Linked DNA regions of Pelodiscus sinensis. The protein of the gene in region 1 purifies or fractionates together with the protein of each later gene. This does not show direct contact. Links are inferred from orthologs where the notes say so. Each region holds a gene or a part of one and is shown on either strand. Other genes may lie near its edges.

The links.
Region 2: the proteins of ITGA4 (region 1) and ITGB1 purify together in Homo sapiens (co-immunoprecipitation; 4 studies listed by BioGRID and IntAct, with this or other methods). This does not show direct contact. The link is inferred for Pelodiscus sinensis from reciprocal best matches to the Homo sapiens genes ITGA4 and ITGB1.

Annotation. Positions count from the first base shown.
Region 1 is NC_134717.1:48,518,407-48,526,434, reverse strand, and holds the start of ITGA4 (integrin alpha-4), read right to left. Parts: upstream 3,071-8,028; 5' UTR 2,724-3,070; coding exon 2,533-2,723; intron 2,493-2,532; exon of another isoform or gene 2,288-2,492; coding exon of another isoform or gene 2,160-2,287; intron 2,043-2,159; coding exon 1,921-2,042; intron 1-1,920. UniProt on the Homo sapiens protein: Integrins alpha-4/beta-1 (VLA-4) and alpha-4/beta-7 are receptors for fibronectin. They recognize one or more domains within the alternatively spliced CS-1 and CS-5 regions of fibronectin. They are also receptors for VCAM1.
Region 2 is NC_134712.1:230,379,952-230,388,083, reverse strand, and holds the start of ITGB1 (integrin beta-1), read left to right. Parts: upstream 1-5,062; 5' UTR 5,063-5,289; coding exon 5,290-5,298; intron 5,299-8,132.

The DNA.
Region 1 (8,028 bases):
GAAGAAGTTGGTTGTGCCCAAGAAAGCTCAAGACACCATCTACATATTTTGTTAGTCTTTAAGATGCTGCAAGACTATTCATTGTGTAAGTTTTTACGTTAATTTAGAGAGCCATATCCTTGAGTATCTACTGTATTTTTACTTCATCCACTTTCACTGCCAAACTCCCAAGAAAGAGAATCACTTACAAATGCACATATTCACAGATTCCCAAGGCCAGAAGGAACGATTGTGATCATCTAGTCTGTGTAACACAGGACATAAAACCTCCTAAAATAATGCCTAAAGTTTTAATGAAAACCTCCAATTTTGTTTCAAAAATTGTTAGTAATGGAGAACAGACTAGACATCTTGGCAAACTGTTCCAATAGTTAATAACCCACCTCGTTCAAAAGGTGTGCCTTATTTCTAGTTTGAAATTGTCTAGGCTCATCGTCTATCCACTGGATCAGTGTGAAGAAGGCATGTTTTATTGTTCAAATAAAAACTCATTCTCTTTTCTCTCACCCTCTCACATACCTACTTATATAGGTCAATCAACATAATAATGGAGCACCCCTCCCCCTATTTAAAATTTACTCCCCCCCTCCCCCCGCGTATAAGAAAATAGGTTTAGTTAATTAATCTGTTGTTTTGGGACAGTGTGAAGATGTTGGCTTACATGTAGGAACAGTGAAAGGAAAGGCAAGCTAAAGCAAACAGTACTTCTTTTTGACAGTAAGTAATGTCTTGCAGGAACAAGCCTCATAGACCAGGTCCTTTGAAAACTATTTCCCACACTCCCAAACCTCCCCCATTGGCTAAGTGTCATGGTTTCAGTGGATCACAAGGGACACAGGAGAGAGGATCTCTCAGGTAGATCAGACCAATTGAATAAATGTTTCTTATTACAGGATACAAACACAGAATTGGACATGGAACTGAACTTTGTAGTCAAGGAGGAGAAGAGCTGAGCATAGCGAAAAGTGTTCAGCACAACCTGTGTTCTTTAGCAGGACTGTTGCATCCTGTACAAAAATCATACACTGAGAGCAGAATACATATGCTTGCATGTATGCCACTGATAATTCATCTTAAAAAACACTCCAGTTACTTCATGATGGCTTGGGAAGTGAAATGTTTTAGAGAGAAACTCCAGAACATAATCTAGAAACTTTTTCTTGTTCCCACTGACTTCAGTTACAGTTGCCCTCAGTTCAGGAGATGGAACTACTTTCTTGGGAGGGGAAATAACAGTGATTTAATTTGAATTCACACAAGCACTTGAAATCAGATGCTGAAAGCAAAACATGGAAAGAAAAATAAATATGAAAATGGGAACTGTCATTTTAATTTACTTTAAAAAAAGTTTTATGTCCTTTTTATTGGTAAGAAAAAGCCAACTTTTAAAAAAATATAGATTTTTAGGACTTATATTTTAAATAATTTAATCTAAATTCATAAGAGCATTGATCTTTTATGTTATTGAAAGGTAAATATAAACACTAATTTATGCAATACCAAAATGATACATGAAAATATGAAATAGGCATATAGAGGGCATTCTAGGTTCTTGTATTACTGCAAGTGCTGGTATAAGTTGAAGGAGGTTTGTTTTGTCAGATCAAAATTGGGTGATGTTATTCAGTTTTGCAATAAACAGCCTCTAAAAGGGTTTGAAACTATTTGCAAAATAGTGGAGGAAGGAACATTTATTACAGTCCAGTATTTCACCATGCTTCTGGGGAAATTCTATTGCTTCTTATTTTGTCAGTTATAACTGTTGAGGATTCAAGGGAATATAGACGTGTACTTCACTTCTTCTAAATAAGAGAGTTGTCGCAGCTGGCTACTTTCTGCATTCAGCTATAAGTGGCAAGCAAGCTTGGCGTTCTTCATTGAAGATGTAACATCTTCAGGTGCAAATACCATTCAACTCACCCAGCTGGAGCTGCTCACAAGTCCCATTGGGGTTGCTCCCGATCCTGCACCTGAATATTGCACCTGGGTTGACCACAGAGCTATTCGCCAACCAGTTGGCTTTCGGGGCTCCCACGACCATCCTAAAAGCGAGGAGAAAAGAGTTTTAAACCTGTCAACAGAGATGAAAACACCACGAGGCAACCCCTCTCCCCACCAGCACCCAGGAGAATTAGAGCGTCACGCTCTCCTGCGCCCACCTCGCGTGCAAACGTTTGCTTTGCGATGGGGGCCCGTGGCGGGGGAAGAAATTGCTTCCCAACTTCCTCGGCGTCTTTGCAACGGGAATGCTGGGAGGGGGGTGCCGCACGGTCACCGTCACTTTCATCGGATACCCGATTGCGCGCGCTGGGCCAGGTTCCGAGTGGGACAGTCCCTGGGACAAGCTCTGGCAGGGACTCGCGCCTACCGCAGCAAAGCCTTTGCCGGGGGCGCCGCAGCTGACAGAGCGAGGAGCCAGGTGCAGGCATGGCCAAGTCAGACCGGCGACGACCCGCTGGCGTTTTGCTGCGAGGAAAGTCCCCCGGCAGCTGCCGGGAGCGAGAGGTCGCCTGGCGAGCGCTGGTGACTTACCATCGACTAGCGCCGTGGCTGTGCAGGAGAACTGTGTAGCCAAACAGTGTCCCGTTGAGCCCCCTGAAGACCACGGGGTGCTGCGTGTCCAGGTTGTACGCGCGGGCAGCCCCCAGCAGGAGCAGCGCAGCCCACGCGGCAGCGCCCCCCGAGGCGAGCCCCCCGCTCAGCGGCTCCCCCCAAGCCCGCATGGCGCCGCGCGGCGAGCTCTAGCCCCGCCGGCTGCCTGCAGCGCACAGGGCTCGTGCGCTGAGCAGCCCCTGCCGCTGGGGGCTGAGCCTGCTAGGGGAGGGGTAGAAAGTGCAGGCAAAGCGCCTGGCTTTGGCGGGCGGAACTGGAAGCCCCTCGGGCAGTGTTTAAAGCGCAGCAGGCTCCGGGCGCTGTTTCTCATCAATGGGAGTCCCTCCCCTCTTTACCCCCAGGTCAGGGGCTAGAGCAGGGAATCCGGCCCCGCTGCTGGCCGCAGATGGATGCGTCCCTCTTGCCCTGGGGAAGCTGCAGGCTCCCGGGCCCAGGAGTGCGGGCAGTTTTAGCCACCGACCCCCATGTAAGCCCCTTGCACCACCCTGCACGTGCTCCCATGCCCCAGCCGCCCCCCCCCACTCCCGTCCCGCACGTGCTCCCATGCCCCAGCCCCCCCCCCACTCCCGTCCCTCACGTGCTCCAATGCCCCAGCCCCCCCTCACTCCCGTCCCGTACGTGCTCCCACCCCAGCCCCCCCCACTCCCGTCCCGTAGTGCTCCCACCTCAGCCCCCCCCACTCCCGTCCCTCACGTGCTCCAATGCCCCAGCCCCCCCTCACTCCCGTCCCGTACGTGCTCCCACCCCAGCCCCCCCCACTCCCGTCCCGTAGTGCTCCCACCTCAGCCCCCCCCACTCCCGTCCCGCACGTGCTCCCACCCCAGCCCCCCCCACTCCTATTGCTGGGGCGATGTGAGGCTTTAACACTTATAACAAATGTCACCCAGGAGTTGCCACACAACTGCCTCCCCTTTCTCTAGGAAAGTAACCAGCAGGACACAAGGAGGAGTTGGGGAACAGGGGGGAGATGGGGCAGCTAAATATTTCAGGAGCTGGAGTTCAAGGCAGCTCCCCAAAGAGTTTTTAACCTTCCTCCCCCTCCCAACAGTAATTCTGGCCTCTCCCTCCTAAAATACCAGTTTCCCCATTCTCTCCCTGCTAGCCTCTGCCCCTGGGGTGTGTCTCTCCTAACCCACCCACCTCGGGCTCAGTAGGCTGAGGACTGGACTGGAGTGGAATCATAGACAGAAGGGGAGGCTGCAGGAAGTGGGTAGGGGTGGTTGGTGGTTAGGCCTCACCCACCGTCTAATCCCACCCTGCATGGTTGAAGCATTGGACTGGGCCCTTGGACAGGGAGGAAGGGTGAGGGAGGGGCTCAGGCCTCGAGCAGTAAATAGGGCCAGGGGCCAGAGAGACTCAGAGGCTATGTCTAGACTGGCATGATTTTCCACAAATGCTTTTAACGGAAAAGCAAGTGCCCCAAGGTTCGGTTCTAGGACTGGTTTTGTTTAATATCTTTATTAATGACCTGGATGAGGGGATAGATTGCCCCCTCAGCAACTTTGCGGATGACACTAAGCTAGGGGGAAAGGTAGATACGCTTAAGGGCAGAGATAGTGTCCAGAATGACTTAGACAAATTGGAGGATTGGGCCACAAGAAATCTGATGAGGTTCAGCAAGGACAAGTGTAGAGTCCTGCATTTGGGACGGAAGAATCCCAAGCATAGTTACAAGCTGGGGACCAACCGGTTAAGTAGTAGTTCTGCAGAAAAGGACCTGGGGGTTACAGTGGATGAGAAGCTGGATATGAGTCAACAGTGTGCCCTTGTAGCCAAGAAGGCTAATGGCATATTAGGTTGCATTAAGAGGAGCATTGCCAGCAGATCCAGAGATGTCATTATTCCCCTTTATTCGGCTTTGGTGAGGCCTCATCTGGAGTATTGTGTCCAGTTCTGGGCCTCCCACTACAAAAAGGATGTGGACTCATTGGCGAGGGTCCAGCGGAGGGCAACCAAAATGATTAGGGGGCTGGAGTTTATGACTTATGAGGAGAGGCCGAGGGAGTTGGGTCTGTTTAGTCTGCAGAAGTGAAGAGTGAGGGGGGATTTGATAGCAGCCTTCAACTTCCTAAAGGGAGCTTCCAAAGAGGATGGAGAGAAGCTGTTCGCAGGAGTGACAGATGGTAGAACAAGGAGCAATGATCTCAAGTTGTGGTGGGAGAGATCCAGGTTGGATATTAGGAAAAACTATTTCACTAAGAGGGTGGTGAAGCTCTGGAATGGGTTACCTAGGGAAGTAGTGGAGTCTCCATCCCTAGAGGTTTTTAAGTCTCAGCTTGACAAAGCCCTGGCCGGGTTGATTTCGTTGGGATTGGTCCTGCCTAGAGCAGGGGGCTGGACTTGATGACCTCCTGAGGTCTCTTCCAGTTCTATGATTCTAAGTGAAAACATGTTATGTGGGTCAATTTTCCCATTAAAAATAATGGAAAAGGTGGGAGTTATGTTTCAAGTAGTGGGGAATGGGGAAACCCAGCCGCCAGACTGCAAGCTGGGTTGGAGGAGAGGGAGCAAGGCATCCAGTGAGAGGGGGTCTCCGGGAAACGACATGGCGTGCAGTGAACCCTCCACCGCTTTGCAGGGAGGCGGGGGAAGCCCCCCGCAGCCGCTGGCGACCGGCCAGCCAGCTGGGGAAACCATGTTATTTTGGGCACGGTCGTGTTGTTCAAAAAACGTTCCCCCCCCCAAATCATGCTATCGCAAAAATGTGTTAAGCAGGCACGTGTTAAGCAAGTAATTACTGTACGACGTTGGAAGACAGGGCTTCTTGTGCAAGAGCTATGCTCTTTTCTAACAAGTGTAAGCCCTCTTACGCAGGAGCTCTTGCACAAGAGGGCAGTGTGGACGCACAGCAGAGGTTTCTTGTGCAAGAAAGCCCTATGGCTAAAATGGCCATCAGAGCTTTCTTGCACAAGAGAGCATCCACACTGCCATGGATGCTCTTGCACAAAAGCACATGGTAATGTGGACGTGTTCTTGCGCAAGAGTTCAGTGTAGACATAGTCTTGGAGCAGGCACTAATAATACATAATTTAAAGTTTCCTGGATTAATAAATGCTTCCCACATTTGAGCTTTGGCTGGTTTCCATCAGTGCTTGTATCATGCTATGGAGATAGAATGGCACATAGACAAAGTTAATACTGTATTAATTCCTGCTACAGGTTTTTCTTCTGGTTTGGGAGATAAATATATTGTGTTGGGTAAGTGCTCCCGAGACCTGGCCCCCTACTACCTCAATAGACTCCCAAACCATAGAGGCTTCACTGGATAAGTGCTATAGGAGAGAGACAAGAACAGAGCGGCTATGTCTAGACTGGAATGATTTTCCGCAAATGCTTTTAACGGTAAAGTTTTCCGTTAAAAGCATTTGCGGAAAAGAGCGTCTAGATTTGCACGTAGAATAGTGGTAGAAATGTAGCCGTGTTAGTCTGGTGCAGCTGAAACAAAACACAGTACTATGTAGCACTTTAAAGACTAACAAGATGGTTTAATATGTGATGAGTTTTGTGGGCCAGACCCACTTCCTCAGATCAAATAGTGGAAGAAAATTGTCACAACCATATATACCAAAGGATACAATTAAAAAAATGAACAAATATGAAAAGGACAAATCACATTTCAGAACAGAAGGAGGATGAAGGGGGGAAGAGGGGAAGGTAAATGTCTGTGAGCTAATGATATTAGAGGTGATAATTGGGGAAGCTATCTTTGTAATGGGTAAGATAATTAGCGTCTTTATTCAAATTTGCGTGTAAAGTGTCGAATTTAAGCATGAATGACAGTTCAGAGGATTCTCTTTGAAGTGAAGTCTAGAAGGGTGTGTCTAGACTACAGGTTTTTTTCGAAAAAACTGGCCTTTTTTCAAAAAAACTTCCCCTGCATCTAGACTGCTGCCGCGTTCTTTCTAAAGTAAATCAAAAGAACGCGGCAATTTTTTCGACCATGGAAAACCTCATTTTGCGAGGAATAACACCTTTTTTCAAAAGTGCTCTTTTGAATAAAGACACTATGTAATGCAAACTGCTTTTTCGAAAGAGAGCATCCAGACTGCCTGGGTGCTCTCTTTCAAAAAAGTGGCTCACTTTTTCGAAAGTACAGGCTGTAGTCTAGATGCTCTTTTTTGAAAGAGGCTTGTAGTCTAGACGTTCCCAGAGTTGCTAATTTTTGCTTTATGCACCCACTGAGTAAAGGACAGAAACTTGCAGTTCGCCATGTTATCTGTTGCGTACAAAACAGCACTGGGGGAAAAAAAATGTGTGATATCTATTGGCTGATTCAGTAGGGCTTATTTTCTGTGTGTTTGCTTTGTTCACAAGTATTTTCCATAGCAGTGTTTCATTTTACAGAAATGTTTGAGCCAGGAAGATTTCTCTCTTATTCTGCGAGCAGCTTGAGAACACTATTAGCAGAATATGTACGGTTCAAAATTGCTATCCCAAGTTGTTGCTTAGACATTAGGAGGAAATAACTACTACTTTTGGACTGTGTGGTTAGCTCAGTGGTCCATAAAGTAAGCTGTGTCCCCCTTACTCATAAAGTAATCTGTCTGAACCCCTCTTCCCCCGGCAGTGAGGCCAGGGGCCAAAGCCATGGCCAGGATCGGGGCCATGGCTGGGAACAAAGCTGGAGCCAGGAGTTGAAGCCTGAGATGGGCCCAGTGACTACAACCTGGAGCGGGGCTGGCACCACAGTAGAGCGGGAGACAGAGTGGGACTGGGAGGGCTTCCTTCCCACCCTCCTATGGGGGCTAGCGCAGATCCTGCCACGCCATGCCAAACATACTTCTCCCTTAGGGGACACACTGTGTTAGCTAATATTATGGGCCTCGCAGAAGAGTTTCTGTTAGAGGGGGAAACCGATGATCAGAGTTATTTCTTTGGTGCAATCCTGTTTATTTACAAAGAACATACACACAGTCCTTTTTCTTTACATACAGAAGAAGCAAACAGCAGTCAGTTTCCTTTCTCATAATTTCTAAGTCTACCTTTCCAGTACTATCTGTGTTCCCAAGTTGTTCATTCCATCTCTGTTCCATCTAAGGGCCACAGTGTCTGCAGGCTTTCTGTCTCATAGCTAAAGTCAATCCTAGGGTTGCCAACCCGCTAGGATTGGCCTGGAGTAGGGATGTAAAATTTCAGTTAATCAGTTAACCGGCTGAACATTGGGTTGACCTAACATTTAACCGGTTAACCAACTAAAGTGGGATCCAGGTTGGGAATCACACCAGCCCAGCTGAAGCAGCCCCCAGCTCATGGGGCTCTTGCCCCCAGCCCTGTCTTGAAGCTGCCATTGGTTCACAGTTCCCAGTCCCCGCACTGTAGCTGGGGCTGGCACTGCTGCCTCACAGACCTCATGTGGGGGTTGGGGCTTCCACAGGCTCCTGGCTTCTAACCCCCATTGGTGAGGCCCCTGGGGCC
Region 2 (8,132 bases), on another chromosome or scaffold:
TGCAAGCCCAGAGTGCCTTTCTTTCTCATGTGCATGACAGGGTCTTCCTAGCACAGATTTTACATCTCTACTGGTTGCTCTGGGCACCCAATCCAAGTTACCTGCACTTCTGGGGAAGGACTCATAATTGCTCTTGCAGCTTCCCTTTACTTCTCCATCAGAAGTAATTTTTCTGCATGGAAGCAAAGAAATCTGCAAGGGCCCATGAATTCTGCACATGCAGTGACACAGAATCCTCCCAGGAGGTTGCAAAGACCAGAACTTTAACAGGGTTCAAGAATGAACTAGATAAATTCATGGAGGTTAAGTGCATCAATGGCTATTAGCCAGGATGTCCCTAGCCTCTGAGAGGCTTGGAATGGGTGATGGGAAAGGGATTGCTTGATGATTTCCTGTTCTGTTCACTCCCTTTGGGGCATATGGCATTGGCCACTGATGAAAGACAAAATACTGGGTTAGATGGACCTTTGGTCTGACCCAGTATGACCATTCTTATGCTCTTAAGGAATTAAGTTGTGTTAGGAGAGGTAAAAACAACAGTTTAATCAATTTGTAGAATCCTTATCTTGAAATTCTAAAGCTTTGCGACTATCAGATGCTAATGTATATTGCAATATACAATTAATTTTCCTAAATTTTTATTTTCAGGCAAAAGATTGTTTAAAATAATGCTATAAGTCAGGGATCCTGGCTATTGTCTGAGAATCTGATTTATAATTATCCTTTCTTATTTATTTGCGAGAAATTCTATATCAATTTCAATAGGAAAAAATAAATATATTATCTTCTATTTGCTCAATAACATGTGGAATTTCAAGTACTCATCAGAAATTAGGATTTGTCTTATAGGACCCATTCCTGCTAGATGATGAACATTGTAAAACCAACAGGAGTTGAGAATGGCCACCTTATCATAGGAAGGTGCTACACACCATGGGAAACCAGGATTATAGCGAACAAAGCCTTGTAAATATGTTGTCAACTCTAGTTCTCCAACTAGGCACCAAGTATTTATTGACTCACTCCACTCAGATCCTTGTCCTAGGCTGGAAGCCTAACTCTGATGTAAACCGACAACTCCATAATGGCCACATTTTATGATGTTGACTAGCTGCCTGGCTAAATTCACTTACCTACTCTCAGGCTACATCTATACTGCAGCCTGCTTCCACAAAAGCTTATGCAAATGAAGCACAGAGTAGAATATCACTGCACTTCATTTGCATAATTAATTAGCAGCAGTTTGTGCGCAAGAGGCTTTAGTGCAAAAAATGAGGAAGAACGGCTCTTGCACAAGAGGGTGTTTTTGCGCAAAAAGGTGCCGTCTACACAGCTCCTTTTTGTGCAAAAGTCTCTTGCACAAAAAAGACTGCTAATTGCTTATGCAAATGAAGCATGGTGATATTCTACTCCACACTTCATTTGCATAAGCTGTTGTGGAAGAAGGCTGCAGTATAGACGAAGCCCCCAAGAAGTGTTATCATTAGAGAAGAGAAGAAACAAAAAGAGGCTCTGATCAAAAGTATTACTGCAACTCTCTAGCATCATCACTTCCTGGACAAAGTGACCATGCTTTCTAATAATAATTTCTGCCTAGCATCTTCTTCATTCTTATCCTCTAGGACACATTACTCCCTTCCTGTTGGAGATATCCAGTGTTTTCCTTCTGAAAACTCTTCTGTGTTCTAGGAATGTTAAGGACTAGTTGACTAGTCCACTATCCGATAAGCAAATGTCCAATAAGCGGCAGCACTGCATAGCTGATCCGAGGGTCCATGGGGTGCTGCCCCTTTGAAATATTGCAGCATTTCAAAGTGGTGGCACTGCCTCTTTGAAAAACCACGGTGTTTCAAAGGCGAGCACCGCACGGAGCCCAGGATCAGCTGTGTAGTGCTGCCCCTTTGAAATGATGCAGCAGAGTTTCAAAGGGGCAGCGCTGCCCTGTCAACTAATCAAATAGTTCATGCAAAAATGCATCAACTATTCAATTCGTGAATTACTCGATACTTAACATCCTTACTATGTTCCCGCTACAAAAGTACAGAATCGAGGCACATAGTAACAATAGACAAGATACCCTGGATAACTCTGCTCTCAGTGAAAGAACTGGAAAATAAAAGTGCTGATACTACAGAGACAGTGTGATCCAGTGGATAGAGCACTGGACTGACTTTCAAGAGACCTGGCTCTGTTACTGACCTGCAAAGTGATATCAAGAAAGTTACTTGGATTCTCTCCTTCCTCTTTCACTTTTTGGCTTGTTGATTTAGACTCTAAACCCTTCAGAGCAGAAACGGTGTCTTTCTTTTGTACAGTATCTAGCACAAGGAGGTTCTGATTTCTATTAGAACCACTAGCTGCTACTTTAATATAAATAATAATTATTAATACTTATATAGTACTTTACAACATCAAAGCAATTTGCAAAGACTAAATAACTATTCCTCAGTAGGCAAACAAGTATAATTATTCCATTTTACTGGTGAAATTGAGACAAAAAGGGTATGTCTACACAGCAAAGAAAAAAAACCACACCGTGTGAAAAGGTCCTAGAGCTGAGGCTCCAACCCAAGCTCAGAAGTCTAAACACCAATGAAACAGCCTTATAACCCAAACTCCCTGAGCCAGGTCAGCTGGCATGGAACTGTTGTGAGTTTTTCTTGTTTGTGTAGACATACCCAAAGAGATCAGAGGTTCTCAAACTGTGTTTCATGGAGCACTGACAGTCAATAGAGCACTTGCTGGTGGTCCACAGAGCTGGCTCTTCCTTTTTACTGCCAACCCTTAAACTGCATTTAAGAATAGCTTTAAAAACATGAAACACTTTTCTAAAATTACTCTTCATGTAAGCAATTACTGTAGTTGCCACATGAGTGTTATGCAGTGAAACACAGAAGGAAATGGTCTGCACAGCCATTAGTGGGAGCATGGAACAGTTTCTGTATTAAAATGTAGTCCATGAATGAAATTTTCAGAACCCCATAGATAAGAACCAGTGGTTAGATGAATTCATCTATCTCTAATGGTTAACTAAACCAAATGTGCCTAAGAAACCCAATACAGGCAGTGCCCGGGTTACGTACAAAATAGGGTCTGTAGGTTTGTTCTTAAGTTGAATCTGTATGTAAGTCGGAACTGGCATCCAGATTCAGCCGCTGCTGAAACTGATCAGTTTCAACAGCGGCTGAATCTGGACACCAGTTCCGACTTACATACAGATTCAACTTAAGAACCCCAGGCGTCCCCAAGTCAGCTGCTGCTGAAACTGATCAGCAGCTGATTCCAGGAAGCCCAGGGCAGAGCAACTCTGCCTCCGGCTTCCTGTAGTCAGCCACTGGTCAGTTTCAGCAGCGGCTGACTTGGGGACGCCTGGGCAGAGCAGCTCGGGTGCTGCTCGGGAGCACGGCCGCTCCTCGGCGCTACTGGACCAACCCAGCAGCACCCCAGCTGCTCTGCCCCAAGCGTCCTGATTCAGCCGCTGCTGAAACTGATCAGCAGCGGCTGAATCAGGACTCCTGGGGCAGAGCAGCTGGGGTGCTGCCGGGTTGGTCCAGTTAAGCTAAGGAGCGGTGCTGCGGGACCAACCGGCAGTGCCCCACCTGCTCTACCACAGGCCCCGGGCTTCACTCCACGTCTCCCTGGTCTGCTGGGGGGGGCACTAGCTGCGTCCCCCCCCAGCAGACCAGGGAGATGCGGAGCAAAGCGGCGGAGGACCCGGGCCGGACCGTGGCACTTCCAGATCAGCTGGAAGCGCCGCGGGTCCAGCCCCGGGTCCTCCGCCGCTTTGCTCCCCGTCTCCCTGGTCTGCTGGCTCCCCCAGCAGACCAGGGAGACAGGGAGCAGCTTTTCTCGCCCCGGAGGAGGCGGGCAGCGGGACCAGGTGTCCCGCCGTTCCAGTCCTCCGGGGCGAGAAAATCTCCGTTCGTAACTGAGGATCCGACATAAGTTGGATCCACGTAACTGGGGGACTGCCTGTACACAAAAGATGCAGGCATGGCCTGAGGCGGGCTGCGGCAGCTGGCAGCCCAGGAGGAATGCGTGATCAGTGCCCCCGCCTGCATGGCTGTCAATGGAGTGACGTCATCATCAGGCTCCTCATTGAAGGAGGCACCCTAGGCGATGGCCAAGTCGGCCTATAGTCATGGGCCGCCACTGAAAAGATGTCACACATATTAGTGATGTTAAATTTTGATTAATCAGCTAATTGAGTAGTCTCCATCGACAACTTGTATTAGTCAATAAGGGGGGAGGGATAGCTCAGTGGTTTGAGCATTGGCCTGCTAAACCCAGGGTTGTGAGTTTAATCCTTGTGGAGGCCATTTGGGGCAAAAAATTTGTCAGGGATGGTGCTTGGTCCTGCTATGAAGGCAGGGGACTGGACTCAATGACCTTGCAAGGTCCCTTCCAGTTCTAGGAGATAGGCAATCTCCATTAATTTAATTTAGGGGTGAGTAAGATGCTCCCTATTCCCACTTGTGTCTTTTAAATGTAGTAAGGGGCCCACTGGGGCTCTGACTACATTTAAAAGTCAGAGGCACAGCAGGGAACCTGTAGTGAGCTGGGATTCAAGCAGTTTGGTGGGGGAGAAGAGCCCCTCTGGATGGTCTAGGCACCATGTCTGCAAACATGTCCCTCCCCCTGCTACCAGAGTCCCTTTTTAACCAGACTTTCCCTACTTTCCAACTAGGAAGGATAGACACTTTCTCTCTTAGCCACGGGTCTCATTCCATCACTTGGAACCAGGTGAGGAGGCCGCAAATAAGCCGCCGCCGCCGCCACACCAAACATCGCGCAACTGGCAATGAAAATCTGGCGCGTTGGCAGCCCACACTGCCGCAACCTGGCGGGGGGGAGTCCCTCACGCTTTGCCAGCAGCCCGGGCAGAGCGGTGCGAGGGCGAGCGGCGCTGCAGGGGCGGGATTGTCCCGGGAGGTAGGGGAGTTGGCCCAGTGCCCTGTTCCCAGCTCCGGGCCCTTCCCGCCCAGAGCCCACAGGGCACCGATCCCTCCCCCGGCCCTAGCTGCGCGCTCCCCCGCCCACTGGCGGGGCCTGACGGCAGCAGGGAGGAATGCGCTTCCGGAGGCGGAGGAGGAGCGGCGCGGCTGGGCCCGCACCCAATTCCCACCCCCTGCGGCCCGCACACAGGGCGCCCAGCGAGCTGGACGGAGGGAGCGGCGCCGGGCTCCGCGACACGCAGGGAACCGCGCCAGGGCTCCCGGGCATCCGTGGGGACAGACCTGAGCCAGCCGGGCTCCGAGCGCGCTTCTGCCGCCGCCTTCTCCCGCGGCCATGGCCAAGGTACGGGGCCGGGGGCCGCGCTCGCTGCGGGGGCGGGTTTCCGCCCGCTTGTGCCGCGGGCCAACATGCCCCCTTGTGCGAGGAGCCCGAGCTCCCGGGAGAGACGGGGGGGGGGCTGCCTGGGGCCCCCAGGTACGCGGGGCTGGGCCCCCTCCCGAGCGGGCTGGTGCAGGGCACCGGCCGCTGCTGCCCCGGCCCAGTCTGGGGGCTAATGTGTGCGGCGCCACCCGGCTCGGTGCTGGGTCTGGGCCGCGCGGGGAGCCAGTGCCGCCCACCTTCGGGAAGCGCCAGGGCTGGCTCCGGGTTCGCTGCAGGGCGGGGCTGCCCCTCACCGGGCCTGGCCCGTGTCAGCCTGGCCCAGGGCTCCCGGCCCTAAAGCCAGACAAGGACATGCCCTGGCCCTTTGTCCGCTGCCGCCCAGCCATTCAACTCCTTGGGGCTCGGCCGCAGGGCTTGCCCGTGCGGAGTGGCCGCTACATACCCCGTGGCACTTTCCATAAGGTTGGGCGCTTTGTCCCGGGCCTCCCTGAAAGGAGGGAGGGTGGGGGCTCATCTCCTCTGCTCCTGCCTTGTGAAGGGTGCTGTAAGCACCGCTGCTTCTCAGTGGCGTTTGTGAAATGCAGTGGGTGTCTTGAGACTGTGGAAGTTCAGTCTTAATCCTCGTTCACTCCAACAGTACTAGCTAACTTCTTAACACACTTGGATGTGTTCCTAAGGTGCAGTAGAAAAACAGTTAAAAGACAAGGTCTTTCCCTGTCCCGAAAAAGTTTTAGACAGGAAGGCAACAGGGAAGGAAGGCTTGAGCAAAGACCGAGCCACAGTAAAAAAAAAAAAAAAAAAATCACAGAGAGCCTCCTAGATCTGCAAATTCTATTATGTTAAAAAAAAAAAAAAAAAAAAAAAAAAAAAAAAAACTTGAGAGGGATTGCTATTTTGGATTTTGTGGTTTTCTTTAAGTACTTTGAGTAATGCCACTGACCAAGTGAATTCAGAAATATCTAGATTTAAATAAGCCTTTTGAAATCATGAGGCCGTGGTAATAAAGATATACTTTATATTTCCGCCCTACTGATGATTCACGCTCCTGTCACAAAAATTACTTACCTCAGGCAAATCATTAAGTAGCATTGTGTAATGCTCCTTAAAGCTATATATATAAAACTTGTGGAAATAGGGAACAACTAGTAATAAGTAAGTGAGATCAAATGAATTAAGGATAAAACAGTGTTAACTTTTGTCCTTTAAAATGTTTGAAATTAAATTAGGGCTGTGGAGCGATTAAAAAATTAATTGTGATTAATTGAGTTGTTAAACTAACAGAATACCATTCATTTAAATATTACATATTTCAAAAATATTGATTTCAATTAGAACATAATACAAAGTGCACAGTTCTCACTTTATATTTATTTTTTATTACAAATTCTTGGACTGTAAAAAAAAAAAAGTATTTTTCAATTAACCTAATATAAGTACTCAGGGGGTAGAGACTGTTACTTAAAAAACTAGTGGTCTTGTAGCATCTCAGTGACTAACAAATATATATTATGAGCTTTCGTGGGCTTTCTGAAGAAGTGGGTTGTGCCCACAAGACCTTCTCATGATAATATATTATTTTTGTTAGTCTCCAAGATGCTACAGGACTACTCATTTTTCATTTTTTAAAATACAAATACTGTAGTGCAGTCTCTTTATCAAGAAAATTAAACTTAAGTGTAGAATTGTGTACAAAAAACTGCATTCAAAAATAAAACAATGTAAAACTTTAGAATCTACTTGTTCAGCCAGTCATTCAAACAAACAAGTTTGGGTTATTTGCAGAAGATAATGTGGTTTGCTCTTGTTTACAAAATCACCTGAAAGTGAGAACAAATGTTTCCATGGCACTGTTGTAGCTAGCATCTCAAGATATTTACGTACTAGATGTGCTAAAGACTCATGTGTCCTTTCATGTATCAGCTGTCATTCCAAAGGACACGCATCAGTGACCATGATGGGTTCTATTAAATAGCAATTCAAAGCATCTGAGTCAGGTGCCACCAACAGAAGGTTGATTTTTTTTTTTTTTTTTTTTTTTTTGGTGGTGGTGGTTCAGTTGTTCCCTGTCGGAGTGTTGCTCTTTTAAGACTTCTGAAAGCAGGCTCTATATCTCATCCCTCTCAGATTTTGGATGGCATTTCAGATGCTTAAATCTTTGGTTGAGTGCTGTAGAAATCTCACATTGGTATCTTCTTTACATTTTGTCAAATTTGCTGTGAAAGTGTTCTTAAAGTGTGCTAGGTCAGCATTAGAGCCTTAGATAAAAAAATGTGGATCTTCATCCCCTTGGTGCAACTCCTCCCTAGCTCAGTGATTTTCAAACTGCAGTCCACAGACCGCTAGTGGTCCACAATCACCTTGCAAATGGGCCACAAGTCAAAACTCAGCCCCTTCCCCTGCAACAAGGAGTCTATGCTGGTGCTCCAGTCGTGCTCTTCCCGTATCCCCATGAGATTGGAATGCCAGCACCAGCTTCCTGTTGGGGGGAGGTAGAAAGCCCAGAGGTTTGCTGCTGGATCCGGCCTGTGAGTGGAGCAAGCAGCTCTGCATACTGCTGCTCCCCGTTCCTCTGGCTGGAGGAACAGTGGCACACAGACACACTGCCTGGAGGCTTTCCCCACTGCTCCCATTGGCCGAAATTGTGATACAGTAATTGGGAACAGTGGAAAGCATGCCTCGAATGCAGTGGCTGGGAGTGGCACCTGGGAGCAGCGTGGGGTTCAAAGCCTGGTAACACCCAGCCCGCTCCTTCACCTTCCCTTGCTCCCCCACCGTTCCTCCTGGCCAGTCACTGC